Ovis aries: one gene and its partners. The protein of the gene in region 1 binds, or shares a complex with, the protein of each later gene. Links are inferred from orthologs where the notes say so. Each region holds a gene or a part of one and is shown on either strand. Other genes may lie near its edges.

What was found.
Region 2: ARID1B (region 1) and DPF1 share a complex: the UniProt entries of both Homo sapiens proteins name them as parts of the neuron-specific chromatin remodeling complex. The link is inferred for Ovis aries from reciprocal best matches to the Homo sapiens genes ARID1B and DPF1.
Region 3: ARID1B (region 1) and SMARCB1 share a complex: the UniProt entries of both Homo sapiens proteins name them as parts of the neuron-specific chromatin remodeling complex. The link is inferred for Ovis aries from reciprocal best matches to the Homo sapiens genes ARID1B and SMARCB1.

Annotation. Positions count from the first base shown.
Region 1 is NC_056061.1:81,159,359-81,169,096, forward strand, and holds the start of ARID1B (AT-rich interactive domain-containing protein 1B), read left to right. Parts: upstream 1-3,253; 5' UTR 3,254-3,268; coding exon 3,269-5,068; intron 5,069-9,738. UniProt on the Homo sapiens protein: Involved in transcriptional activation and repression of select genes by chromatin remodeling (alteration of DNA-nucleosome topology).
Region 2 is NC_056067.1:47,414,054-47,423,713, forward strand, and holds the start of DPF1 (zinc finger protein neuro-d4), read right to left. Parts: upstream 5,456-9,660; 5' UTR 5,351-5,455; coding exon 5,319-5,350; intron 165-5,318; exon of another isoform or gene 107-164; coding exon of another isoform or gene 78-106; intron 1-77. UniProt on the Homo sapiens protein: May have an important role in developing neurons by participating in regulation of cell survival, possibly as a neurospecific transcription factor. Belongs to the neuron-specific chromatin remodeling complex (nBAF complex).
Region 3 is NC_056070.1:71,284,451-71,294,223, forward strand, and holds the start of SMARCB1 (SWI/SNF-related matrix-associated actin-dependent regulator of chromatin subfamily B member 1), read left to right. Parts: upstream 1-4,318; 5' UTR 4,319-4,506; coding exon 4,507-4,599; intron 4,600-7,783; coding exon 7,784-7,922; intron 7,923-9,130; coding exon 9,131-9,260; intron 9,261-9,773. Other genes in the region: MMP11 (stromelysin-3), read left to right, coding at 1-237, 318-534, 1,200-1,457, 2,010-2,143.

The DNA of each region.
Region 1 (9,738 bases):
GCTAGAGTAACTTATTAAAGTTGTCATTATGGTTTGAAATTTAGGCAAGAGGTGTAAAAATAAAGAATTCATTAGGAAAAATGAATGCGGTCATTTGTAGTACTTTATTTTCCATTTGAAAACTACTGTAGAATCTCCATATAGGATAATCGAGGCAACTAACACAACAGAAACTATGATCTACAGTTCGAATCGTGCTTTTGGGAAATGTGAAACTATTTCATGACTTTGCTTTTGAGAAATGTGAACCTATTACATGACTTTCTAACAGACGCGATAACTGCGATTTTATTAAGTCCTGGATTTTTAAATGAAACTGTTAAGAGGCTTTTCTTTTGTTTTCTCAAGATGATGTGTTTGAGAAGCCTAGGTTGAATAAAGAGGAGCCCACTACTACCTTCAGCAAGATGCTTTTGAAGAGGTATTTTAGCATTCTCTGTGGTTTAGGAGACAAAACCAAGTCCTGCGGGCTTTGTGCTGTGCTTCCTTGCAGACTGCAGAGCCTTCTGTCTGCTTTAGGGTGTGGCAGCTGCCATTGGGGAGGAGAAGCTGGCAAGTGTCGCCTTTTATAGCAGACTGACTTCATTGTGCTGGGGGCCTCGTTTTCATAGCCTCTTGGTTCCAATCTTCTAGTTGACTTGCTGAAGCAAAAGCAATTAAAAGAGATTTCGCCCTATATACCTGGTTTTTTTTTCAAGTTTCATGATTTTTCTATATAGAAAAAAAGTGTTAAGAAAAGGGCCAGAGGTGAACTTGGTGACTCATTTTCCCTTTTTAGGATTAGTTGTGAAAATAAGCCACAAAATATGGCTGTACTTCTAAGAACTGATGTTGATATATTTTATCAGTTGGAAAAAATGTATTTTTATGACTATATGTGTACATAGTTGGACTATAAATGTCTAAAAGCATAAATATGTAATTGAGTTTAGAATATATGTATAAACACATATGCAAAACAGACATATATTTGTATTTGCATATGAAAACTCAAAAAATTCAACTTATGTGGTATCATCATGTAATTAGTATGTATTTGACTATATAAAGGGAGAAAATCCAGGAGAAAATGTCAAAGAGGCACACTAACAAAGATGTAGTATTCTCTTGGCAAAAACTGATGAATGATTTGACATGAATTCACCTTACATTTCTCTTATTCACTTACACGTGATAATATAACTCCTGTTTTCCAGTTGTTTGCATAGACTTGCAATTTGTTGTTTCTACATTCTATAATGACTCTTGGGTATGCACCTGATTCCCCTCCTCCACCATCAGTCACCAGTTTTCCACATATATCCTTTCCTATTTAGTCAAGTAACATATTTACACTTGGTCAAGCAAACAAAAATAACCACTGCAGTTGAAATAAATTAAAATAACCTTTATGGAAAGCTGAAGAATTAGATGATTTTAGAAAGCTACATTCTACCAAAATCATATATATCATTTCAGCTAGCAGGACTTCTTGAAAGCTCTGGTTTCAGATGCTTTCTCTCCATGAAAACTGAGTCCACACTAGTACAACTGAGCTATTGTTTAGGTTAAGAAGTCCTGCTTTGGAAGATATTCAAGATGTTACTAGGTGACAGAGTCACAATAATAAAAACATTTAAAACATCAAAAAGTGATAAAACAATGGATAGTATTTGAAGAAAAAGTGTGAAACATTTTTGCTGTAGGATTAGATTCGATAGATTTACATCATCACTGATCTTATGTTTATGAAATATAACATATATCTTTTAGTTTTGTTTCACATTACTTAGAAATGAACTCATATCAAGAGGGTTAACTGTGCACCTAACCTCTAAAATAGGATGAAAGGTGTCATACAGATTTATGAAGACATGAGATAAACCTTAGCTCTTTCTATTATGGCACCAATAGTTAAATTTCCACGTGCAAGTTGTTGGGAGCATAGCATACCACTCTACACATTTGAAGGCTTTCCTTCAGAGAGAAGACAGGCAAGTGCATTGTGAGAAAATGTTCCTTTGGGAATACTTTTGTGTTTTCATTAATAAAGCCTACGTGGGCTTCCCTGGTGGCTCAGATGGTAAAGAATCTGCCTGCAATGCAGGAGACCCCAGTTCAATCCCCGAGTCGGAAAAATCCTCTGGAGAAGGGAATGGCTCCCTACTCCAGTGTCCTTGCCTGGAGAATCCCATGGACAGAGGAGCCTGGTGGGCTATAGTCCATGGGGTCGCAGAGTCTCAGAACCGAGGGACTAACCGTGCAGGCACACACACACACTGCCTTAAAAAAAAAAATTATATCAGCATTTCTTTGGGGCAGGTGCAGTCAGTAATAAGCATGTATTGAGTACCTGCTGTGTACAGGGCACAGAGCGTCTGGAATGAGGCTAACCTTCAGTTAAAACTCTTTCCTAATTTTGCAGTTTGAAGAAGTTGTGGGAATCACACTGATGGCCCGAAATCAAGGGAGAGAGGCTAACAAGCTGAAAAATTACATAACTCTTGGGAGAGGCAGTGCTTTTGCACAGATTGCCCAAATATTTTCTTTCTCCGTCGGCTCCTCGTAACCTTTGAGGCCGACAGACAACTTTGTTCCCCGGCCCTTCTCTCCCTCTTTTGTCTGCTCGTCAGACTCGTTTTCCACCTTTGTATGGTGCCTTTTAGACGTGAAAACAAACACGCGAACGCCCGGTTGGCAAGGCGACGGAGGCACGAGGGGAAAGTGCAGCCTCCGGTCGCCCCACGCCCGCCTCGCTCCGGACGCCAGCGGCGCGGCCGGACCCGAGCTCCCCGGTCCGGGGCCGCCAGTGCCCGCGAGGCTGCACCCGGGCCGGGCGGGCAGGAGGGCGCAGGGCCCCGCGGGCCGCGGCGGCCCAGGGCTGAGTCCAGTCCGCGTTTTGCGAGTGCGCCCGAGCAGAGAGAAGTGGATAATAGTTGCTCGGGCTCGCCCGGCTCCCTCTCAAGCTATGCTGGGCCCGAGCGGCTCAAGTCAGTCGTGTATTTTTACCCATATCCGGGGTAGAGAGGAAAAAGAGAAAAAGTTTCATTTAAACCTGCACTAAAAACTTTCACCCTGAAATCACACAGCGGGAACAGGCCCAGACCGTAAGGCGTAGACCCCCGGTTCGGCTCCGGCGGGGCCCGTGGAGGGAGGGGAGTAAGGAGGGGGCTCGCTCGATTCCCGTCGGGGCGTGTGGATGCGCACAGGAGGGGCCGCAGACTAAAAAGTGGGTTTTATTGTCTCCCCCCGCACCCCCCCCGCCCGGCCTCGCCACGCCGCGGTGATCATGGCCGCGCGAGCAGCAGCAGCAGCGCGGGCGGGCAGCGGCGAGCGGCGGGCGCCCCCCGGGCCGCGGCCGGCGCCCGGGGCCCGGGGCCTGGAGGCGGGGGCGCGCGGCGCGGCGGCACCGGGACCCATGCTGGGGGGCGGCGACGGCAGCGGCCTGAGTAATGTGCACCACCACTCCCTGCACCCCCGTCACGAACTGAACATGGCCCATAACGCGAGCGCCGCGGCCGCGGTCGCCGCCAGCACTAACAGCGCCAAGAGCGGCGGCTCCGAGGCGGAGGGTGGAAGCGCCGCCGCGCTGTCCTCCTCCTCCTCCTCCTCCGCCGCGGCGGCGGCGGCGTCCTCCTCTTCCTCCTCGTCGGGCCCGGGCTCGGCCATGGAGACGGGGCTGCTCCCCAACCACAAACTGAAAACCGTTGGCGAAGCCCCCGCCGCAGCGCCCCACCAGCAGCAGCACCACCACCATCACCACCACCATGCCCACCACCTCCAACACCACCACCACCACCATGCCCACCACCTCCACCACCTCCACCACCACGCACTACAGCAGCAGCTAAACCAGTTCCAGCAGCAGCAGCAGCAACCACAGCAGCAGCAGCAGCAGCACCAACATCCCATTTCCAACAACAACAGCCTCGGCGGCGCGGGCGGCGGCACGCCTCAGCCCGGTGCCGACATGGAGCAGCCGCAACATGGAGGCGCCAAGGACGGTGCCGCCGCGGGCAGCCAGGCCGAGCCCCCGGGCCAGCCGCTGCTGAGCAAGCCGGGCGACGAGGACGACGCGCCGCCCAAGATGGGGGAACCGGCAGGCGGCCGGTTCGAGCAGCCGGGCCTGGGCGCGCAGCAGCCGCCGCCGCCGGTCGCCGTGCCCGGGGGCGGCGGAGGCGGCCCGGCCGCCGTCTCGGAGTTTAATAATTACTATGGCAGCGCTGCCCCAGCTAGCGGCGGCCCCGGTGGCCGCGCTGGGCCTTGCTTTGATCAACATGGCGGACAACAAAGCCCCGGGATGGGGCTGATGCACTCCGCCTCAGCTGCCGCCGGAGCCCCCAACAGCATGGACCCCCTGCAGAACTCCCACGAAGGGTACCCCAACAGCCAGTACAACCATTATCCGGGCTACAGCCGGCCCAGCGCGGGCGGCGGCGGCGGCGGCGGTGGAGGAGGAGGAGGAGGAGGAGGAGGCAGCGGAGGAGGAGGAGGAGGAGGAGGAGCAGGAGGAGCGGGAGCTGTGGCGGCGGCGGCCGCGGCGGCGGCGGCAGCAGCAGCAGCAGGAGGCGGCGGCGGCGGCTATGGGGGCTCGTCCTCGGGGTACGGGGTGCTGAGCTCCCCCCGGCAGCAGGGCGGCGGCATGATGATGGGCCCCGGGGGCGGCGGGGCCGCGAGCCTCAGCAAGGCGGCCGCCGGCGCGGCGGCGGCGGCAGCGGCGGCGGCGGCGACGGGGGGCTTCCAGCGCTTCGCCGGGCAGAACCAGCACCCGTCGGGGGCCACCCCGACCCTCAACCAGCTGCTCACCTCGCCCAGCCCCATGATGAGGAGCTACGGCGGCAGCTACCCGGACTACAGCAGCCCCAGCGCGCCGCCGCCGCCGCCGCCGCCGTCGCAGCCCCAGTCCCAGGCGGCGGCAGCGGCGGCGGGGGCGGCGGCGGGCGGCCAGCAGGCGGCCGCGGGCATGGGCTTGGGCAAGGACATGGGCGCCCAGTACGCCGCTGCCAGCCCGGCCTGGGCGGCCGCGCAACAAAGGAGCCACCCGGCGATGAGCCCCGGCACCCCCGGCCCGACCATGGGCAGATCCCAGGTAACCCCCGCGCCGGCCGGGCCTGCTTCCGCCGCGGCGGCCTCGCCGCGCGCTGCGAGCCCTGTAGTTTCTTTTCTTTCCGCGTTACTTTTTCTGCGTCTTCGGCCCTGGTGGGGGGGTGGTGGTGGTGTGTGTGTGTGAGGCGGAGGTGAGGAGGTGGGGGGGCGAGGCGCCCAAAGCCATTTTAACTCGCGGCTGCCTCGCTCCGAGGCCCGGCGGCGCGCAGGGTCGGAGTGCGCGGCCCGGGGCCCCGGGGGGCGGAAAGGGGGTCCCTCGCCGAGGCCCGGGACGGGCGCCGCGGTGGCCGGTCGCCGAGCGCCCGCCTCGACACCCCCGCCCCGGGCGCCGAGCCGCGCGGCCGGGACCGCGCCACCGGGAAGCCGTGTGGGCGCCGGGGACCGTTCGGGCAGCTTTATTTTATATATTTATTTATTTTTACCACAGAAATGGGCGCTCCGGGCCGGTAGGGTCTGAGGAGAAATAACTGCCCCCCGCTTCTCGGGTAGCGCCCACCATGAGCTCGAACTGAGGAAAGAATGAGGAACTTTGTCCTACCTCAGGCCACACCGCGTTTTTCCCTCTTAGAGCTCACAAGGTGAAGGCAGGAGGAAAAAAAAAAAAAAAAAAGGTTAGCTTTGTGGCAGCCGAGCGTGTGTTTCGTAGTTGTGCCCAGGCATTCGGCGATATTCGACGCGGGCTTCGAGTTTTGAGCGTTTAGTAGCCAAAAAGAGTACCCACGTCTTAGAACGATGGGGAGGAAAACGACCCTAAAATATATCGATTCATTCCCAAGAATAAGCCGGGGAAATCCATTATTTGGCTTGCAGGCTGCTTGAAAGGAGTCACCTTCAACGGATAGGCTGCGTTAAAGGAACACATTCCGGTTAAACTGAACTTATTTGGATCGTGGGTTAGGCGTACGTTTTTAGTCAGCGAACCCAGGGAGGGAGCAGACCAGTGAAAATGGATCTTTTTGAATCAGATTTATTTGGATTTTTAATTTCCTGTCCCCCCCCAAGTCCTGCAGCGTTATTAGGAAGAGTCCTGCACTCTTGCTGTTTCTCGCTCGGAGGCTGAGCCTAAAGACTGACTTGATCTCCTTTGCAAGGTTTGGAATTTGAATTGTGGAGGTAAACTGGCTGTAATAGTCTCCAGACAGCTGCCTCTGAGTTGACATCTAATCTGCCATCTGATTGGCTCCCCTCTCACCATTGGGCATTTAGCACTGCTGATGTAAATAGAAGTGCTGAGCAGTACAGTCACAAAAATTCTTGCCACAAATAATAACTGAGCTCTATTACATGCAGATGTAAGGTGAAATATTATTTAAAGCTTAAATTATTATGAATCACAGTTACTAATAAGAGGATTAAATACCTAAAAACATCACACTGGTGTCCAGTATTGGGCAGTTAGAAAATTCAGCTGTTTGACAGTCTCAGCATGGCCATTACATATCTCATTCGCTATAATTGTAGGGTGAGGATATGGCAATTGAAAAAAAATTAAACCAAGAATTTTACCAATTTCTGGATTTTGGAAAGCTTTTATAAAATAACCCTTTATGGATTAAACCATGAAAAAATTGGAATTATGTCATCACATGTAGTTTAATATAAAATTAAAACTTGTAACATTAAAAATGTCATGATTCTGATAGCCAGTGGTATATTTCAGTAATACTTAATTCGCTTTATAACAAGATTAAAACTATGTTTCTGGTAAGTTGTGCTTTAAAATTCTGATCGTTTTTAGAAGTTAGTGGATGAGGAGTTTCAGTTAGAATTGGATGTGATGTTTAAGAAAACATGAAGTGGGGAAACTATAATAATTTCTGCAGACAACAGTTAAAAGGGAAGAAATGGACCTTCTTGTGAAATTTTAAAAATTATTTTATATTTGCTTCTGATTTGGAAGCAAATGCCTCAGAAATCTTTTCCCCCCTTTGATTGTTTTGCTAGATTAGGTTATGTGAGCCTTATTTGAACTGCTTACACAATGTTTTAGGGAAACTATATTACATGCAAATTGTGCTGGGCTTCTTCCAAATAGTTTTTCTTTCATGGACATTAGAATTTTTAAAACTTTTTTAACATTAAAATATGTTAAAAAGGAATAATGGTGGCTGTAATATCTGTTTTTACTTAGCTCATTTGCTTTAGGAAGGTGTATTTTAATAATAACCTTATTTTAGATGAGAGACTTGTCAGAATGTATGCAGTACTGAATTTTTAACAGATAATCATGTGAATCCCGGGCTGAGGACGTTGGGAGTCCACTCCTTTCTAATCTTCAGTTAGTAGAGTTTTAGAGTTAATGATAATACATTTTCCTATTCTTCATAGAAAACTGGGGATTCTGATTTTTTTGATTTGGATAGGTAAAAACATAGGAAGACTTTGTGTAAATAAACCCACGTAATTAATTTTGAAAAGATTTGCTTTGTCAGCTTCCTTTTAAAGGGACAGTTTAGAATTCACATCTCTCTAAGCCAGTAACGAGGATGATAGAGGCAGATGTAGGTCGGTGTTACTTTACGGTGTTTCTTCATAATGGTACCAATCATTTTAAGTATTTTGTTTTCTTGGAATGAGAGTGAATCCTTTATGTCCTCAGTATGACCCTTAGGAATAGCTTTTTTGTTTTTAAGGGGGGAGGAAAACTGCCGGGCATATGACCTAGATTCACTGATTTCTTGTAGGTACTATACCGTATAACATGTGGAATGTGTTTTTGGTATTTTTTCTTTTTGGAAGGCTGCTATTCTTTTGTATTTGTTATGACAGTTATACTAAGGACCAGTTGTTTGTCCAAAACATTAGATTACTATGTAACTATAGGCCATGGGATACTATTACATTTTCTCATGGCTTTAGCACGGTTAGTTTCATTTTTGATTTTAGGAATGGTTTACATTGGGTGGCAAATGTTTTTGTAATTGAGAACAAAACGGGTGTATATTGTAATGGGAGGGTCTTTTTAAAAAGTGGAATAAGGCATTTTACAATATACTTAGTGGGTTTTGTGAGATAAAGTATTCAGATAAAGCAATCTCAAAAGGAATACTGAGGTCTGCTCACATATCTAAGATTTTGGGATGTTCATATTTGTGCTGAATTTCATTAGTGCTATTTTAACTTTAATTTTATAGAATGTAATACAACATAATTTTTAAAAAAGCCTTATTTACCATTAAAAGAAAACTGATTAGCTGATTTAAAAGCAGTAAGGTTTGTAAGTAATGAGACTTACAGGCTGGTTCCTGATTACCTTAAAATTTGTATAAGATACATTATAACACTCCCACTTTCCCACTCAGTACACTGTTATACTATATGATATGTTAACTCTTGTAAAGAAGTATTTGTGGACTAAATTGATATATTTGCTGAGCTATGACTGGCCAGCTGCCCCATCGTTAAGAGGAGGTGGAATTGGCAACTGTGGTTCATTTAAAAAACAAAGAAAATACGATGAAAAATGTCAACTGTTTTCTGTTTTTCTGGGTTATCTGAAATGAAATTGTGCATGGCCTAAAATTGTTTTCATTGGGGATCCTGATTTCTGTGTACTTTTGGCATTTTTTTTTTTTTTTAAGGCAACTACTCTGTAAGACAGCTGTCACTTAAATTTATGTTTATATTAACACAAAATCAATACATATTTTCCAGGGAACAACATATTCTTACCTTGCATCTGTAATAAGCCCTAATCCCTCATTTTTCTTTGGTTTTGTTTTTTTATCTATATTCAGGAATGAATTTTTGGCAAAGCTTTTTATACTCATTCCATTTTTCCCATGTCATGTTGTATCAGAAGCATCTGAATTGTGTTGTGGATATGGAAATATTCCAAATCACACCTAGACACTTGTACTAATGAACTACCTTTTAACTACCATTTTCTTTCATTAAAACTGTAAGAATAACATCTTCACTCTGGCATAAAAATATATTAATTCTGGCTTGAGAACCGATTTAAAAAATGTAAGACAGTGTAGAGGAAGTCTCTTAATATACAACCCATTTGGTAGTTTTATTAGACATAGACACATTTTAAAGAAAACAGATGTAACAGAGGGTGGTTGAATTTTCAGGTCTACATGAATGGACTTTATTACTTTATAATTTGGAGCTGGGTGTATCTGAATAAAAAAAAGAATTCTGATGTAATAGGAACTTAACTTACTTCCCTAAGATAAATACCAGTGTGACAGGCAAACCAAAAAGATGATCATTTTGTTTATTTAACCCTGTTCTCTCCTAGCAAGAAAGTAGTTTCATTTAAAAAAAAATTTTTTTGGGGGGGGGGCTGGTTTCTATAAAATTTTGCAGCTTATTTTGAAGACTAACTTGGAGATATAAATTTTGGGCGTGTTGGCATAGGAAACTGTTAGCTTTTTTCCTCGTGTCCTGAGTGGAGAGGTTTTTCTTCCTTCTCTGCAGGAGCTTGACACTGCTCACTTAATTGATCTGTGTGCTTTGATCCATATTTGAGGAAGGGGAACTAGTATTTCACTTGTGTCACTTTCATTTTGGGCTGTGTGTAGATATATAAATTTGAGTCTTAAATATTTGTGTTTGAAAGAACTCTTGTGTGTTTCTTAAAACAACAGATTCATGGAGGCTCAGAATGAGTATTAATAAAACTCAAGTTCCATTAATTTTGGG
Region 2 (9,660 bases), on another chromosome or scaffold:
CCCCCAGCCGCCACACACACACACGCCCGCTCGATCCGCCCGCGCTCCCTCCCCCGCCTCCCGCCGTCCCGCAGCACCTCAGGGGGCCGGGGATGACCGTGGCCATCTTGCTCCCCGGGTCCTGCCCCCAGCAGGTCCCCGCCGGGCCGGTCCTCCCAGCGCTCGGGCGGGCGCTGAGGCCGCCCATCCATTCATTCCCGGGGGGCGGGAGCACCGGGGCCACAGCCAATCAGGGCGGCGGGGCGGGCCCGCCCGGGCCATGCTGGGAGTGGTAGTTCCCCGCCTGCGGCAGGCGGGACCCCAGCGGGAAGCCGGTCAGAGATGGGGCTCGAGGCACGCATAGCCACTCGCGCACGCTCACCCATGCACACCTCGGAGTCTCGCACATGGGTCTACACTCACGCATGCACACCTGGGCTCGCACACACCCACACACGGCGACTTACACACACATTCACACATATACTCACAGCCTCCCACGCAGACTCACGCACACTCCCTCTCCCACACCTTCGCATAGACTCGCATACATTTGCACTCACACAAACACTTGAGTGCCAGGAGACTTAGAGACAACGTACAGATGCCCACGCAAACGTCCCGCCAACGCATGGCTCCCTGCCGCCGCCTCTCCCCCGAGTCCCTCCTAGCTCCAGAGCACCCTCTCGGTCCCCGGCCTCTGGTCACCGTCGGGGCTGTCTCTCTCACAGGGACCACGCCCGATTCAGCCCCTTCCCCGGCCTGACAGCAGCCGTGCCAGTTACGTGTGTGCTGTAGCCACACTTCATGGGTTCAAATCCTGACTCTACCACTTGGTGGCCATGTAACCCTGGGCAAATAACTTAATCTTTCTGGGAATCAGTTTCCTCATCTGTAAAATAAGGATGATACCTCATTGGATTATTGTGAGCATTAAATGAGTAAGTATTGGGGTGTGCATGTGTTAAGTCGCTTCAGTCGTATCTGACTCTTTATGACCCCGTGGACTGTAGCCCGCCAGGCTCCTCTGTCTGTGGGATTCTCCAGGCAAGAATACTGGAGTGGGTTGCCATACCCTCCTCTAGGGGATCTTCCCAATCCAGGGACTCTTTATGTCTCCTGCATTGGCAGGAGGGTTCTTACTACTAGCACCACCTGGGAAGCCCTTAAATATTGGTAAATTGCTTCAAAAGGCATCTGATGGGGATTTCACTGTTGGTCCAGTAGTCGGAGAAGGCAATGGCACCCCACTCCAGTACTCTTGCCTGGAAAATCTCATGGACAGAGGAGCCTGGAGGGCTGCAGTCCATGGGGTCGTTGAGAGTCTGGCACGACTGAGCGACTTCACTTTCCGTTTTCATTTTCATTCATTGGAGAAGGAAATGCAACCCACTCCTGTGTTCTTGCCTGGAGAATCCCAGGGACAGGGGAGCCTGGTGGGCTGCCATCTATAGGGTCGCACAGAGTCGGACACGACTGAAGCGACTTAGCAGCAGCAGCAGCAGCCAGTAGTTGAGACTCCGCACTCCCACTGCAGAGGGCACAGGTTGGTTGGGGAACAAAGATCCCTTATGCCATGCAGTTTAGCAAACAAACAAACAAAACAAAAGGTACCTGGCAGGTAGTAGGTGTTCAATAAATTCATTCATTCCAAGAAGAGGACCTGATATGTACTAAGATGTAAAATGGTGATAGCTAACCATTATTAGAAAGAATAACGCTTGACATATGTGTGTGAGTCACTCAGTCGTGTCCGACTGTTTGCGACCCATGAACTGTAACCCACTAGGCTTCTCTGTCCATGGGATTCTCCAGGCAAGAATACTGGAGTGGGTTGCCATTTCTTCCTCCAGGGGATCTTCCCCACCCAGGGATCAAACCTGAGTCTCCTGGATTGCAGGCAGATTCTTTACCCTCTGAGCAGATTTACTTTACCAGGGAAGCTTGGCATATAATAGATGCTTACAAAATATTTGTTACGAATAAATATACTGAGTAGCCACCAAGTACAGGCACAGTTCTTTAACAGAGACTCACCCGTCTGATCCTCATAATGACCCACCAGGGTGATATTACCATTACCCCCATTTTCCCAGAGGAAGTAGAGTCGCATGCCGTCAGCCCCTGGTGTTTGCTTGAAGGTGAGACTAAGATAAGTATTCACTTGCCCAGATGTCTGTATCACGTGGGTCACCCCCTTCTTTCTGCCACTCCACCCTAAGGGATGCCCAGAGAGGAAGCTGACCTTTGGAGTCACAGCACTTGCCAAATCCCACTCACCCACACCAAACCCACACCCCCATCCAAAGTTCCTGTTCAGGTTTGAGCCCTTGCATGGATAAAAAGGCCCACAAATGTCCTTGTCTACCAGGGAGCTCTCCGGCAGACGGAAGAGGCCTCAAAGCCCTCACCTCTTTTGTCTCTTGATGCCCCCACCTACCTCCCTGATGAGAGAGGCCCCTCCAGGTCTTCCACACCCATGGTCACTTCTAAACACACACACACACACACTTCCCTGGTGATCCAGTGGTTTAGACTCCACACTCCCCAGTGCAGGGGTCATAAGTTCAATCCCTGGTCAGGAAACTAAGATCCTCCAGGCAGAAAGGCATGACCCCAAAACAAAAAACAAAATACACACACACACACACACACACACACACACACACACACACACACACACACACCTCTAGTCTTAGACGCCTTCCACAGGCTCTCCCCCATCTCTCTCAGGTAAGGCCTTGATCTCCCTCTCCTCAAACCCCCAAAGCAGGGAGTGGGTCTCTGCTTCACATCTGGCCTAGAGCAGATGGCAAGGGGGTGAGGCACTTCACTCTGCGTCACAGATCACACAGTGCCACAGGGACACTGGCACCTCACAGTCACTCTGGCCTCCAGGTCCCCTACAGTGGCTACCCCAATCTCATCCACAGTGAGCCCTGCCCCCCCCCAACCCACCAGCTCAGCTCCAAGAGCCCTTGCCACCTTCCTCTGTCACCTCCCACCAGCCTCCAATACATCCTTACACTTGCTCCCCCACACCTCTAGCCTCAGGTACCTGGCTCACCCCCAGAACCTTGGCATCAGTTTTGCTCAGCTTGGAGCCTGAGTATAGAACACTCCATCAGCTCCCTGGAGGCCCTTGTCCACCAGTGCAATTTGACCCACAGCTGACACCTAGAGAAGGGTCTCTCTCCCCTTCCTTACCCCTAGTCACCCTCTCAGATCCCTCAGCCGCAGTCAAACTCCCATGTCCAAACAGTCCTGTCCCCATCCACCCATGCCCTGTGTGGAAACTGGACCACAAGTGAAATCAACATTGATACTAGACAGTAAAGAATCTGCCTCCAATGCAAGAGACCCGGGTTTGATCCCTGGGTCGAGAGGATCCCCTGGAGAAGGAAATGACAACCCACTCCAGTATCTTTGCCAGAAGAATTCCATGGACAGAGGAGCCTTACGGGCTCCAGTCCATGGGGTCGCAAAGAGTCAAGACACAACTGACACTCTCACTACATTTAGTCAGAGTCAGGCTCAGTACCAAGTGCTTTACAAACATCACAGCAGCAACCATGAGATAATAAGAACTGTAATGATGCCCCAGTTCACAGATGGTAACGCTGAGGCTCAAGGTGGGGAGGTTCCAATACAGGCAGTCAGAACCCTCCAGAGCCCATTCCTAAGGGGACTGGATTCTCTCAGGAGCCAACCCCTTCCCTCCCATCACCTCCTGTAGATCCCTCAGAAGGTGAGTGCAGAAAGGGCTACTGGCACTCCCACCCCCAAGCTTACTCAGGTCTTCAGGCCCCCGCAATGGCTGCCCCACACCTACTCCAAGAGGTCAAAGTGAGGAGGTCTGGATACCTATAGATCCACCAACCTGCACACGAGCCCAGTGCCAGCCAGTTTGAGGGTGTCCCTGATAGGGGTAACACGTCTGTGTTGAAGAATTAGAGCGAGAGGGAGGCAGAAGTGTCACCGTTACACACTGTCTCACGCCTACCCCAACCCCACACACGCCCTCCAAGCCGGCTTGGCTCTCCGCAAAGCCACACGTGTAGGCGCGAGCTTGTAAGGCCCGGCCCCCTCCATGGCCCAACTCCCCCCACCATCAGAAACCCGAAGCTACTGGGGGCCTTAGGTCCGGCCACCCTAGGCACAGCCTTTCCGGAGGGCGGGAGCGGGGGGCGCCCCGAGCCCCTCCCCCACCCCAACCCCCAGCACCCGTAGCTCAAGGTCAAGGTGGCGGAGGCGAGGGGCTGGGGGGAGGGTGGGGGAGGTCGCCCCGGCCCCTTTGTGCGGCGCCGCGGGCGTTCGCCCTCCGCCTCCTCCCCGCCAGGCCGGGGAGCGGGGGAGGGGAGGGCCGCGCGCGCCAGCCGGGGAGGGAGAGCCGGAGCGGCCGCGCGCCTGTCACTCCCAGCCCGCTGTCACCGTTGGGGAAGGGGGCGGGGAGCACTGGGACCCAGGAGTTCGGGATCCCGAGGAAGGAGCGAGAGAGACGGAAAGAGAGGGAAGAAGTGGAGAGAGCGAGGGCTGGCCAGGAGAGGAGACGGCTGGGAGACAGCGTAGGTTTGAACCCAGGCGTCCAGGATGCCAGCCGCGGGGTCCGGGAGGAAGCGAAGCTCGGAGGAGGCACGCGGACAGGGAGAAACGGAGGGAATCCCCGGAGACTGAGGGCGCTCCCAGCACCCTCTCCCGAGGCATCCGGTCCCCAAGGAGACAGGAGATGCTCTCATTACATGTGTACGGGCAGGGAGAGGCAGAGAGCCCACGGTCTAAACTGACCGGAGCGTCGGGGCTTTAGGTCCTGAAGACCCGGGAAGGAAAAAAAAGGGGGGAGACAGCAGGGATCGAATCGGGGACCCCGACGTCTCAGCTCCCACCCTGCGGCCGCGCAGACCGAGGTTCCGGGAGAAAGAGAGGGGAAAGAGAGAAAGATGCTTTTGAGGAGGTAGAGACCTGGGAGACTAGGGTCCGGACTTAGGCATTCATACTCCCAGCCCCAGGCAGGGGCAGACCCGGCGCCCCGAGAGACTCGGAGGAGGAGAAGGAAGCCCCTACCCCCACTCTGGGTGGGGAAACGGCCTCCGCCACCCCCAGCCCGCGCCACATTCCTTCACTGACAGCGACAAAGAGGCGCCCCCGCGACCCTGGAGTGGCTCCTGCCCCCAGCCCCAGGAGGGAGACAGGGGGTGGCGGCACGCCCCGGGGGGACAGGGGGACAAGCTGGGGGGCCCATTCAACTACCATCCGCCCACTGCGTCCCCCTCCCCAGCGAGGGCGGGGGCAGGGTTCGGGTTGGGGGCGGATGGAGGGACGTGGACGGCGGGGACACTCACGACTTGAGCGGGTTCTGAATGGCGGTGGCCATGGCCCGCTCGGCTGGGCCGCCTCCGGCCCGGGGCGCCGCTGCCGCTGCGCGCGGGCCCAGCCCGGCCTGCGCCGCCCGCTCTGCCGCCCAGCGCGCTACGATTTCATTCATTCTTGGGGCTGCAGCGCGAGCGAAGCGGGGCGGGCCGGGGGCGGGGCTCGGCCAATCCCCGCACCTCCCGGCGCACGACGGGACGTGGAGTCTAGGGGCGCTCGGCGGCGCCCGAGGGCGCCCCTGTCCGGACTACACGTCCCAGGGGGCGTCGGGAAAACCGTGTGCCCATTGGCTACTGAGGATACAGGGCGGGACTGGACTCGCCCCAGAGCATCCTTTCCCTTCCCTGGAGTGCTCCCTTCCCAGCTCTGGCTCTCCATCCTTCAAGAACCACGGGCGCGCGGGAATGGGTGGCCGCTGATTTCTGGATCTCCCCTGGGTGTGTGGATGATCCCAGAGTCTGTCGTATATTCTTGTCTTTGCCTACTTCTCTGGTGTCTCTTCTTTTGTAAGCCAGTCTGTAAACAAGCACAGGGGTTAATCCATGCCTTTGTTCATTTATTAAGTGACAGGCACTCTTCTAGGCACTGGGGAAACAACATGAACAACAGATAGAATTGCTGCCCTCAAGGAGGTGAGCTGTGAGTGGGGAAAAACAGATGATAAACAAGCAAACAAGCTGTTAATTTTAGAGAGTGGAAAGTGCTATAAAGAAAGTGGCTTCTCTGAGGAGGTGACATTTGAGCTGAAACCTGAGAAGCTGTCACCATGCAATACACAGAAGCAGGAAAAGCTTGACAAGTTCAAAGATTATTGTGGAAAGCTAGTGTAAAAGAGTCGAGTGAGTGAGGAGGGAGACAAGGTTAGCCAGAGAGCAAGGAACCAGATTATGTAGGGCCTTGTAGGCCATTATAAAGAAAATGGATTTTTGTTCCAAGTGCAATCAATCATCCTTGACTCTTCTTTTTTCACACACACCTCAAGTCCATTATCAAATCCTGTTATCTCTACATTCACAAATAGATCCAGAATCTACTCACCCTTCTCCCTTCACAGCCTCCGTCCTAGGACTCCCTCCTCCCATCATCTTCCCCCTGGACAGTCCCTGACTATTCTCTCCAGGGTAGCCAGAGTGAACTGCGTAAAACAGCTGGCATCACCACGCTGTCTGGCTCAAAACTTCCAATGACTTCTTTCACACTTGGAATGAAGTTCTAAGTCCTCACTATGCTCTCAGGGCCCTACTTAAGCAGATCCCCAACCTCCATCTCATTTCCTCGGTTTATTTAGGCTGTGCTGGGTCTTAGTTGCAGCTGCCAGGATCTTCGTTGTGTGGCATGCAAACTCTTAGTTGCAGTGTGCGTGCTGGATCTACTTCCCAGCCAGGATGGAGCCTGGCCCCCTTACATTAGGAGCACAGAGTCTTACAATCTGGACCACCAGGGAAATCTCCCCACTACATTTCTGATCTCATCTCCCTTCTTTTCCTTGACTAGCTTTGCTGACTTATTAGAAAAGACCCTGATGCTGGGAAAGATCGAAGGCGAGAGGAGAAGGGGACAACATGGTTGGATGGTTGGATGGCATCACCTACTCTATGGACATGAGTTTGAGTAAGCTCCAGGAGTTGGTGATGGAAGGGGAAGCCTGGTGTTCTGCAGTCCATGGGCTTACAAAGAGTTGGACATGACTGAGCAACTGAACTAACTTTGCTCCAGTCGCACTGGCCTCCTCCTTATTCCTGGAACACTCCGGGCCCACTTCAGCCACAGGACCTTTGCATCTGCTGTTCTCACTGCCTAGAATGTTCCTCCCCCAGGCATCTTCATGGTTCCAACAATGACTTTATTCAGGTTTCTAAATTAATGTCACTCCCTCAGAGACAACCTCAGCTAAAACAGCATCCCTGAGAAATTCTATGTCCTCTTGAAAGCTTTTTTTTTTTCCCCCCGGGACTTCCCTGGTGGTCCAGTGGCTAAAATTCCACTCTCCCAGTGTAGGGAGTCTGGGTTCAATCCCTGGTCAGGGAACTAGATCCTGTATGCCAGTCTTTGCCATATGGAAAAGACCTTGGTGCTGGGAAAGACTGAGGGCAGGAGGAGAAGGGGACGATGGAGGATGAGATGTTTGGATGGCATTACCAACTCGATGGGATGAGTTTCAGCAAACTCCGGGAGATGGCGAAGGACAGGGAAGCCTGGCATGCTGCAGTCCAGGGGGTCACAAAGAGTCGGACACGACTTAGTGACTGAACAACAAAATGCTGATCCTGTGTTGCCATAACTAAGATCTGGTGTAGCCACATAGATTCATATTTTTAAAAAAAAAAAAGCTTTCTTTTTCTCCCAACACTTACAGTACTCCATCCTCATACTATAGACCTATTTACTTACTTGATTTATTGCCAACTCCATTCCTTTGAATACCAGCTCTATGAGGCAGAGGTTGTTATTTAATCCACTGCTCTCTCCCCAGTACCTAAAACAGGGCCTGAAAAATAGCAGGTGCTCAACAATTATTTGTTGAATAAATAAATGAATCAATTAGTCATTATGCTCCATGTCTCTCCCCACTGTCTGGCTCTGTGGAGCACAACCAGCAAGGAGAGAGAGAGTCATGTGGGCCCCAGGCTGTGCCCTCCCACACACATAGACACTTAGACAATCTCAAGGGACCAGGGTGGTGGCCAGGGTAGCAGTGGGGGCCGTTGTTGAATTAAGACAACCTTCCCAGCAGAGGGTCTGGAGCTAAAGCTTCAAGGCAAAAAGAAAGGAGAAGTTCGTTTCTACAGAATCATGCCCTGTGTGGGCATGCAGTGATGTGTTTGCACTACTTATTTACGTATTGGCTGCGCTGAATCTTCGTTGCTGTGCACGGGTTTGTCTTTTGTTGTGGCGAGTGAGGGCTACTGTCTGGTTTCAGAACATGGGCTCTAGAGCACAGGCTTGCTAGTTGTGGCACACGGGGTTCATTGTTCCATGGCTTGTGGGATCTTCCCGGACTGGGGATCGAACCCGTGTCCCCTGCATTGGCAGGCAGATTCTCAACCACTGGACCACCAGGGAAGGCCCAGCAATGAAATGTCTGATGGCTCTGCCCTAGGCTTTGCCTTAAGTTTGCAGTCCTGTCGGGTAACAGACCCCTCACTATACAATGACAGCCAAGGGTGGGGGAAGCCCAGGCAGAGGGGTCAGGAGATACACGGGCTAGGGGAGCCCAGAGGAGGTTCCTGACCAGTCTGGGGGTCAGGGAGGGCTTCTTGGAGGAGGTTTCAGGGAAATCTTTTAAATCTTGACCCTCTGATCTCTCCAGACACAAGGCAAGTTCCTGTCCTGACCTCTTGTGTCCGTGATGCCTGATCTTCCTGTCACTCGAATCTTGGTAACAAGCAATTTAATCACTTCTTTAAGCACTTCTCCCAACCTAGAACCCAAAGATTTGACCACCAGAGGGCACTGTGGCTCCAGTTTTTGTCTGGGCAGTCTGTTCAGGACTCCTCAGATCCAGGAGGGACATTGTGGGGGGCAGTGGGACCAACCAGTGGACACATTGGTCCCCCCACTCTGAGCCTCAGACACTGCCCAGGACTTGGTTATCAAGGTCAGAGCCCCTCCCTACAAAAACTCCTGTGGAATCAATGTGTGTGTGCGTGATAAGTCACTTCAGTCGTGGCCGACTCTGCAACGCTATGGACCATAGCCGGCCAGGCTCCTCTGTTCATGGGATTCTCCAGGCAAGAATACTTCAGTGGGCCGCCGTGCCCTCCTCCAGGGGGTCTTCCTGACCCAGGGATCGAATCCACATCTCTTGTCTCCTGCATTGGCATGCAGGTTCTTTACCACAAGCGCCACCTGGGAATCAATAGGAGTCTCTCTGTCCCAGACCCCTGGGAGCCCAGCTTGGGCCTCTGAGGGAGCAACTTGCTTAGCCTCCCTGATCCCTCTCTTTCCCACTATTCTTCAGAGGGTACAGCCCTCCCCTAAGCTGCCCTTGGGATGTTCAGACATGACCCTTGGAAGTCTCCTGCCCAGATGGGGATACTGAGGTATACAGGAGGTGTGGCTGGTGGCGGGGAGGGTGTCATACAACACCAGGACAAAAACAATAGCAGTTAATAATAATAACTACAATACAGGACTTCCCTGGTGGCAAAATGGATAAGGATCCGTCCACCAATGCTGGGGACACGGGCTCCATCCCCGGTCCAGGAAGATTCCACACGCCACGGAGCAGCTCCGCTAATGAGAACGACAACTTACTGAAGCCCACGGGCCCAGGGCCCACGCTCTGCAACAGAAGAAACCACCGCAACGAGA
Region 3 (9,773 bases), on another chromosome or scaffold:
GACCTCCTGCAGGTGGCGGCCCACGAGTTTGGCCACGTGCTGGGGCTACAGCACACGACAGCTGCGAAGGCCCTGATGTCCCCCTTCTACACCTTCCGCTACCCACTGAGCCTCAGCCCAGACGACCGCAGGGGCATCCAGCAGCTGTACGGCCGGCCTCGGCTAGCTCCCACGTCCAGGCCCCCAGACCTGGGCCCCGGCACTGGGGCGGACACCAACGAGATCGCGCCGCTGGAGGTGAGGCCCTGCTCCCCCTGCCCATGGCTGCCTCTGCGGCTCCACCATGGGCTCCTCCTGACCCTTCCCTCTCACCCCAGCCGGACGCCCCACCGGATGCCTGCCACGTCTCCTTTGACGCGGCCGCCACCATCCGCGGCGAGCTCTTCTTCTTCAAGGCAGGCTTCGTGTGGCGGCTGCGCGGGGGCCGGCTGCAGCCTGGCTACCCTGCACTGGCCTCTCGGCACTGGCAGGGGCTGCCCAGCCCTGTGGACGCAGCCTTCGAGGACGCCCAGGGCCACATCTGGTTCTTCCAAGGTGAGTGGGGGCCAGGTCACACTTGGGAGACTGCTGGGAGCCAGGAACGTCATGGCCAAGGGAAGGGACAGACAGACGTGATGAGCAGATGGACAGACGGAGGGGGCCCCGGAGTGTGGCTGGGAGCAGGAGTGTGGCTCACTCCTCTGGGCACAGCTGGGAGGCTTCCTGGAGGAGGTGGTTCTCAAGGCTCGAGTAGGATGGAAGGTATTGCACCCCATGGAGCACGTATGGCGCTTGCCCCTGGACACAAGGCTCTGGGGCTCAGAGGCGGTGAGGTGACCCACATGAGGGCACAGCTTGGAGAAGGTCGGGAGGGATGTGAGCTCAGTGTGCCAGAGATGGGAGCCTGGAGCATGCCAGGGGGTGGGGGCTGCTGCCTGAGGGCTGGCGCCAGGGTGGGCAGCCAAGTGCAGGGAGTGGGCGCCCAGGTGGCCTCTTTGCTGCTCAGAACGACCTTTCCCACGTGTACCTCCCAGCGCCGCTGGCATTGCCCAGTGTCCTTCTTGGGGGTGGGGTTGCCAAGCAGGCGTTATTACTGGCCTTTTGTGTTTTATGGACAAGGAAACTGAGGCTGGGAAGGTCTGAGGTGGTGTCGGTGGCGGAGTGTGGCCGCTGGGCAGCCCTGTTGCAGCACACGCCCCCCAACCCCGTGTCTCCAACAGGAGCTCAGTACTGGGTGTACGACGGCGAGAAGCCGGTCCTGGGCCCTGCGCCCCTCTCTGAGCTGGGGCTCCAGGGGTCCCCGATCCATGCCGCCCTGGTGTGGGGCTCCGAGAAGACCAAGATCTACTTCTTCCGAAGCGGGGACTACTGGCGCTTCCAGCCCAGCACCCGCCGTGTGGACAGCCCCGTGCCGCGCCGGGCCACTGACTGGCGAGGGGTGCCCTCGGAGATCGACGCGGCCTTCCAGGATGCTGAAGGTGTGCAGGGGGCGGGCCTCTGCCCGGCCCCCTCCCTCTCCGCCCCTCCTCCTGCCAAGGACTGTGCTAACCCCCTGTGCTCCATCTTTGTGGCATGGAGACTGGGGCCCGTGCCTGGGCCCCTTGGGTGTGGCTAGCGAAATCAGTCAGAGGCTCCAGCTTCTGTCAGGCTGGGTGGTAGCTCAGACCAGATCCTGAGGGCAGGTGGGAGGGCTCACCCAAGGGTAGGAAGACGCTGGGGCTTCCCTGGTGGCTCAGATGGTAAAGCGTCTGCCTGCAATGCAGGAGACCTGGATTCGATCCCTGGGTAGGGAAGATCCCCTGGAGAAGGAAATGGCAATGCCATCCAGTACTGTTGCCTGAAAAATCCCATGGACGGAGCAGCCTGGAAGGCTACAGTCCATGGGGTCACGAAGAGTAAGACACGATGGAGCGACTTCACTTTCCTAAGGGCCACCTGAGGTCCTTGGGTTTCAAGGAACCCAGCAGTGGCCAAGGCCTGCGCCCACCCCTGTGTCCACTTACCAGGCCCTGACCCTCCTGTCTTCTCAGGCTTCGCCTATTTCCTGCGTGGCCGCCTCTACTGGAAGTTTGACCCCGTGAAGGTAAAAGCCCTGGAGGGCTTCCCCCGTCTCGTGGGCCCCGACTTCTTCGGCTGTACTGAGGCTGCCAACAGTTTCCGCTGATCATCGCCTGCTGTCCTCAGGCCCTGACACCTCCACACGGGAGACCGTGGCCGTGTCTGTGGCTGTAGGTGCCAGGGAGGGCATGGAGCCATGGCTGCTGAGGGGGCAGGGCAGGGTGCTGCCACCAGGACTGCAGGGAGGGCCACGCGGGTCGTGGCCACTGCCAGCGACTGTCTGAGACTGGGCAGGGGGGCTCTGGCAGGGAGGCTGAGGGTGGTCTTGGGCCGGCTCCACGCAGCCTGTGCAGGTCACATGGAACCCAGCTGCCTATGGTCTCCGTCCACACCCCTCAGGGTTGGGCCTCAGCAGGGCTGGGGAGCTGGAGCGCTCACTGTCCTCGCTGTGGGGTCCCACAGGGGGCTGGCACCTGGGTGTCAGGATCCTGCGCCTCCTGCCTCCCACAGGGGTTGGCTCTGGGTAGGTGCTGTCTTCCAGTTCGGTGGTTCTGGAGACCTGTTCCCCAGGATCCTGGCCGAAAGGCCCGGTCAGCTGGTGGGGGTGCTTCCTGACAGAGACGCTGCGCCCTGGGGGCCCCAGCATACCTCAGTCCTATCACGGGTCAGATCTTCCAAAGCCATGTAAATGTGTATAGTGTGTATAAAGCTGTTTTGTTTTTCGTTTTTTTTAAACCGACTGTCATTAAACACGGTCATTTTCTACCTGCCTGCCTGGGGTGTCTCTGTGAGTGCAAGGCCAGGATAGGGGTGGAGCTGGACCAAGAGTTGGGAGGCTTGGCTGGGGACCCGCACAGTCCTCTGGTCCTGGGGGCCGGGTGTCGCGTTTAGGGGCCCCCCTGCTCCATCTCGTCCTGCTTGAAGGCCTACAGTGGCTTCAGTCTGCTCCCCATTTCCCCAGCGGCCTCTCAGACCATCGTCCACCAAGCGCTGCTCACATTTTCCGATCCTGCCACTGTCAGGACACAGAACCGAACTCAAGGTTACCGTGGCCGACTCCTCACTCTCTGGGGTCTACTTGCCTGCCACCCTCAGAGAGCCCAGGATCCGCCTGCAATGCAGGAGTGAGTGAAGCCACTCAGTCGTGTCCGACTCTTTGCGACTCCACAGACTGTAGCCTACCAGGCTCCTCTGTCCATGGGGTTTTTCAGGCAAGAGTACTAGAGAAGGTTGCCATTTCCTTCTCCAGGGGATCTTCCCAACCCAGGTCTCCTGCAGAGCAGGCAGACTCTTTACTGTCTGAGCCACCAGGCAATGCAGGAGACCTAGGTTCAGTCTCTGGGTGGGGAAGACCCCCTGGAGAAGGGAATGACAATCCGCTCTAGTATTCTTGCTTGGGGAATCCCATGGCTACAGCCCATAGGGTGCAAAAAGACATGACGGAGCAAGTCACACACACACAAACACACACACACACACACCCTACACACACACACGCCCCTACACACACACACGCCCCTATACACACACACACACGCACCCTACACACACAGACGCTACACACACACACACCCCCCTACGTGGATGCTCATAGCGGCGCCTCTCATAGCTGCCAGGTATCAGGTGCTGACATGGGCAGCCATCAGCAGTGGGCCGTTTCTGACCTACTGCCGTGCTCCACCGGATACACGGGTGCCTCCCTGTGTGTCGGCCCGCTGGGCTGCCAGCGCCCCAGGGCAGGGGGAGGCACAGGGCACAGAGTTAAGGAGAGGACGGGGACGTTCGCTCCTCCCCAGCTCTCAGCGGGCAAAACAGACGCCGGCTGGGCCTAGGAATCCTGCAAGCCCGGTAGTCTCAGCCCATGCCCGCCCCATCCCCAGAGCCACAGGAACGGGGGCCGGGGGGCTGGCCCGGAGCTGGGATACTGGTCCCTGGGCCGCCCATGTGCTCAGCCGCACAGCGTCCTCTGGGCGGGGAAACTGAGGCAAGGGAGCCTCTGGCTTCCTCCCGGCCTTCCGGGCCTCGCCTCGTGCCTCCTCACCAGGGCAGCACGCCAGCCCCGGCTGTGAGACGGGGAAGGGCGCCGCTCGAGTCAGGGCGGCGGCTGCTATTTCTGCCCGTGAGCGGCCTTCCCTGGTACCTCCACTTGGGAGGCGGCCGGGAAGGCCGAGAAACGGGCCGAGGCTCCTTTAAGCGGCCCGCGGGGGCGCGCTCGGCCCTTTTGTCAGGGCGGCGACGGCGGCGGCGACGCGCGCGTCAGCGTCAACGCCCGCGCCTGCGCACTGAGGGCGGCCTGCTCGTCTTCTGCGGCGGCGGCGGCAGAGAAGCCCAGCGGCGGCGCGAGCGCCCCCGGCCCGGCCCGCCCTTCACCTCCCGCGTCGGCTTCCCCGGGCTAGGAGCGCCCCCGGCCCCGCCTCGGCCCTCCCGATCCTCGCAGCCCGGCCGTGGCCGCCCGCGTCTGCCGCCGCAATGATGATGATGGCGCTGAGCAAGACCTTCGGGCAGAAGCCCGTCAAGTTCCAGCTGGAAGACGACGGCGAGTTCTACATGATCGGCTCTGAGGTAGCCGATCCTTGCCCTCCGGGCCTCCCGGTCGGCCCGGTTCCCGCGGGAGCCTCGGGGCGGGTCTGCGCGCCGGGAACGCGCGTCTCCATTCATCGCGGAGGGCCTGCGTGCGCGTGCGCGGCCTGGCGCATCGGGGCGTGGCCTGTTGGGGCGTGGCTGAGCAGCCCCGCCCCCGCCGTCTGGGCACGCCCACCCGTGTCCCGCAGGGACGCGGTGGGCGGATCGGGTCGAGAGCGTGGTCTATCGGGGCGTGGTCGAGCAGGCCCCGCCCCGCGCTCCGCAGTCTGGGAACGCTCACGCGTGTCCCTGGCCGCGGGGGTCGCGGTGGCCCCGGGTCCGCGCTGAGTTCCACAACTCCAGCCGGACGTACAGAAACGGGGTGTTGGGTTATCCCTTGCTGCACACGGGGCGAGGAGTTGGACCCCTCGCACGCTCCCTCCTCTCCCTCGTTGCCCCAGCTGGAATCCTGAAACCGCTGATTCGAAACACCGAGCTTAGTCGGGGGCTCACCCGCTTGGTGCTCTTTGACTTGGAGTTGGGCGGGTGGGCGTTCTGATCTTCCATTATCAGTGAGAAGACAGGTTGGGAGAACGATGCTTGATTTTGGATGGCTAGGGCCCAGCCAGCCCTGAGCTAGATCCATCAGCAAATGGGAGGCACCTGGCACTTCGGCTATCTTGGACTAACTCTGAGTTAGTGCGAGGGAACGAGCGCGGAACCCCTTCATCCTTACCTAAACAGTGACCTTGCAGCACTGTGAGCCGGCTGGGTTAGCAGTGTGCACCAAGTATACGAAGTTCTTCCAGTGTCCCTCAGCCTTTGGCAGTCTCCGGCGTGTGCGTGTGTGTCCACACACACATTTTAAAATTACGGATCCGCAGTTCAGGTGTGCAAGCGCCGAGCAGCAGTGCCTCCCTTTTGTAGAGAGGCGAGTGCGGGTCTTGGGGAGTTACAGCAGTCACAAACGCCGCCGACGCTTGCTTCTCCTGGCAGCAGTTTTCAGTTTTACGCATTTCACTCTTTTGTTCTTTTTTACCATTTTTTTTCCCTCTTCATGATGGAATACGCTGTGAATGAATTAAGCCTCATGATGGTCACACTCAGTGAGGCTTTCGGGAGTCCCTGTGACTCCCTGTGGCTTGTCTGACTTGTATTGAGTTAGGAGACCCATGTTGTCAGTAGCATCAGAACTTTCTGTGTTTCCTTTCCTCACCGGTTTTTATGAAACACGGGGCCGGATGCAACGTACTTTCACATTATCACAGAAACGCTCCTCTTGACAGCTGGCCGTACTGGAGAGAGGCGCCACTGCCTGCCACGTGCCGCAGCTCAGAAGGGTCTTCGCCAGCCTGTGGGCACGGATGCGGCATGTGGTGACTGGCAGGTTAACTAAAGAAACCTTCACCGGATCTAACGGGCAGGAAGGAAAAGCGCTTGGTTTAGCACTGGCTCTGAGTCGGTGGTACTTTTGAAAATCAAGCTTGTGTTTACTGGGTGGAGCCCGGTGTCAGGTGGGCAGAGCGTGAGGAGCTCTGGCTCCAGCCTGGTGTCCATGGCACTTGTCTCGGGCATCTGATGAGATGCTTAGGCTAGACAGCTTCTGCAACTTGCCCTGCAGCACATCTCAGACTGAGAAAGACAACTGCAGTCTTGGTGAGTGAGAAGATTTGTCCTGAGATGCAGTTTATGGAGACCAGACGGCAGGAGGGAGAGGCAGTTGCCGTCCGGGGCCTGACTTTACAATGTTCAGACCTCAGGAGGCCTGGGCAGGGTTCAGGGCTAGACTGGCATCTACTCACAGCCAGCAGCTCTTCTGACAGCAGGGGTGCTTGGCCCCCGGGCGGTTTCCCTGGGCAAACAGCAGGCGCTGGTTTCCAAGAGGCACGCCAGGCAGAGCAGTGCCTACAGCGCCCCACACCACTCGGGGTAGCAGCCTTGGGAGGGTGTCTGCAGCTGCCCCAGTCCTGCCCCCCCCAGGGGCAGCTGTCATCACCACACAGAGGCACAGCCGAGGGGAGCCCAGGGGGCCTCCATACCAACACCTTCGTTTTCCATTTGGGAAACCCAGGTCCAGAGGGGGCAAAAGCTTGTGCAGGGAAAACCCAGGGGGCAGACTGAGTCCCCTGAGTTCTGAAGGGACCTCGGGAAGGGCCTAGGAGGCTGGGAAGCCTGCAGGACCTGCACGGTGGTACTGGGGGCATTAGGGTCAGTGTCTTGTCAAAAACCTCCTAGAAACTCTATGTTTACCCCCAGATGGTAACCACGCTCAAGCCAGGTAACTCGAAAGGGCCTGCCCCTGCAGCAAGGAGCAGGAGGGACGTTGTGGCCGCTCTCTCACGCTGTTCAGCAGCCGTGGTTGTGTAAATCTCTAAACTCATGAAAAATGGAGAAACTAAAAAAGAAAAATACTATAGTGGGGTAGGTACATGGGAAAATAGCACAAGTGGGTCCTTCGAGGGTGAACTTTACAGCTGATGAACATCTGTCAAGAGGAGTAGGGAGGCTGAGAAGAGGGCAGTGTTGCCCGCTCACAGAAGAAGCCAGCACCCAGTCCAGCGACTGTCCCTTGCCACGTGATCGAGTGGTTGTTTCTGAAAAGTTGGTGAAGCAGTGAAGTTTCTTTGTAAAAACGTTAGGACTAGGTTTGTTTTTGTCAAGTAAGTTGTGCTTTGAGCATCTGGCACAGGCAGGCTGTTGTTTGGGGCAGTGATGCTGTATGCAGCCAATCCAGTGATTGCTGATAAGCGCTTTTGAAACTCTTTGGAAAATTCCTTTGGTATTTTTGGTTTGAGTTTTGTTACTAAACAAAGCAGCAAGGGCCACGGGGGAAATTATCCTACATCTGTCTAAAATTAAAAGCCCTTTTTGGTGTTTATTACATCGTAAAAATATCAGAGTCTTAAGATAAAAGGAAGAGAGGCCTCACATTTTTGGACTGCGCCAGAGATCTTTAGTGCAAGGTCAGAGCTTCTCGGGGAGCTCTGGGCCAGGTGCGGGCCAGACCTCCGCTCCTGCGGAACCCCCGATGTCAGCAGATCGGGCTTTGCCTGCTTTCGGAGCCCGGCGCCTGCAGGCCGCGGTGGTCTGCGTGTCACTAAGGTGGCAGAGCCTCTGCGCCAGGGCCCTTCCCTTCCCCGAGGAGCCCCGGCCCTCGTAATGAGCCTTCTCGCTTTACCCCTAGGTGGGAAACTACCTCCGTATGTTCCGAGGTTCTCTGTACAAGAGATACCCCTCGCTCTGGAGGCGACTAGCCACTGTGGAAGAGAGGAAGAAAATAGTTGCTTCGTCACATGGTAAAAAAACAAAACCTAACACTAAGGGTGCGTCTTCACGAGGGTTTGTAAACCTGTTTCAAAACCACTCGCTTATGTCATGAAGATAAAACGTTTTCACCCCGGCGTGTCTTCACGGCAGTCCTGACCTTAGCGCGGCGGAGCGTCCCCGGGGTGGGGGTGGGCTCCCCGGTGCGGGTGGGGGTCCTCGGTCAGGGTGGTCGGGGTCAGGGCATGCCCGGCGGTCGGAGGGCCGGGCGGGGCGCGGGCGCGGTGAAGACGCGCCGGTCTGAAAACGTTTTAGGATTGCTGTGATGCTGTGCTGTCCGCGGGCGTGCGCCATCCTCACCCTCCATGCGCCCGGGCGGTGGGGCGGCCCTGGCCCCGCCCCCCTCCGGGCCGTCACCGCTTCGCTCCCCGCCCCTCCCCGTCCCCACCCCCCAGCCCATCCCGTGGCACCTGGTCTGGCAGCCGGTCCACCAGCGCTGGCTCGTGTGCATGTTTGCTCCATGCTGTGTGCCCCTGGGCCACGGGGCGCCGCCTCCGGGCCGGGCACCAGGGCGCCCTGGGACAACCGGCCCGCGCCCCGCGTGCGCGCGCCCGTGTGTGTGTGTGTGTGTGTGCGCGTGCGCGTGCGCGCGCTCCGCAGTCTGTCAGGTGTGAGTGTGTCCGTGGCGCTGCCGTGGCCTGTCCACCGCGTTCTTTTAACGCAGGAGCCGGAGCCTCTTGTCCGCGCACTGCTGTGACCTTTCAGCCCCTCCCGGGCCCTCCTGCGCCGGGTGCAGTGCCGGTCAGTAACCCTGCGCCCCTAGCTGCGCTTGCCCCTGGTGAGCCTTGGCGACCCCAGGCCTGGTGCTCCCTGGGGAGCCACCTTCTCCTAACCCCCCGCCTCCACCCGGCTCCCCAGGCAAGCTGTGGTCGGACTGCGGAGAGCTCGGGCTCCCAGGGCGCTGGCGCCAGGGCCAGCTCTTGTTGCGTGTGCAGCGGCTCTTTCCAACTCTCTGGGCTCTTGTTTTAAAAGAAGAGTGTTTCTCATCCCTCATCCCATCTCCACCTCGCTTCGTGTCGTGGACTGCAGCGGTGTCAGACCTCTTCCCGCCGGCTGGCTCACTCTGGAGCCCTCCTGTCCCCAGAGGCCCTGTGGCTGGAGCCCGAGCAGGCGGCCCAGCAGGGCTTCTGGAGAAAGCCAGGGTCCAGGCCGCCCCTTTGGAAGAGGCCCGCGTCGGGCAGGCTGACCGCAGCCCCATCTCTTGCAGATCATGGATACACGACCCTGGCCACCAGCGTGACCCTGCTGAAAGCCTCCGAGGTGGAGGAGATCCTGGACGGCAACGACGAGAAGTACAAGGCCGTGTCCATCAGCACCGAGCCCCCCACCTACCTCAGGTACCGCCGGCCCCCTGTGCTCACAGGCCGTCTCCTCCAGGTTTCCAAGTGTCTGTCTTTGGAATTTCTAAGAAATGTAAGCCAAGCCCTCGGTTCTGGAGAGTGGTTAAGAATGCTTTGAAAGGCAGAACAATGAGTGGCCTAGGTTCACTCCCAAAAGAAACACACAGCGGTTTTGAAGTAGAAACTCGGGTCCTTTGAAAGCACGTTCCCAGTTGAACAGGCGAGGGTCACGGGGACGTTGCTGCTTGTGGGTAGTTTGTTCATTCAGACTTATCAGCAAAACTTGGACACGCTAATAGACAATAGATGAAGGGTGTAGAGCAGACACACAGGGGGAACGGTGTTTGTCCTTCAGTAGCGTTTCTAAAATGCAGAGTAAAAATAGGCATAGCCGGCAGCATGAAGAAGCAGGGAGGGAGGGAGCTCGCTGGGCCGCTCTGCACCACAGCTGCCCTGCGCCAGGCTCTGCGGCAGCCTCAGCCTCGTTTGGATCTCCGGCCCATTCGTCTC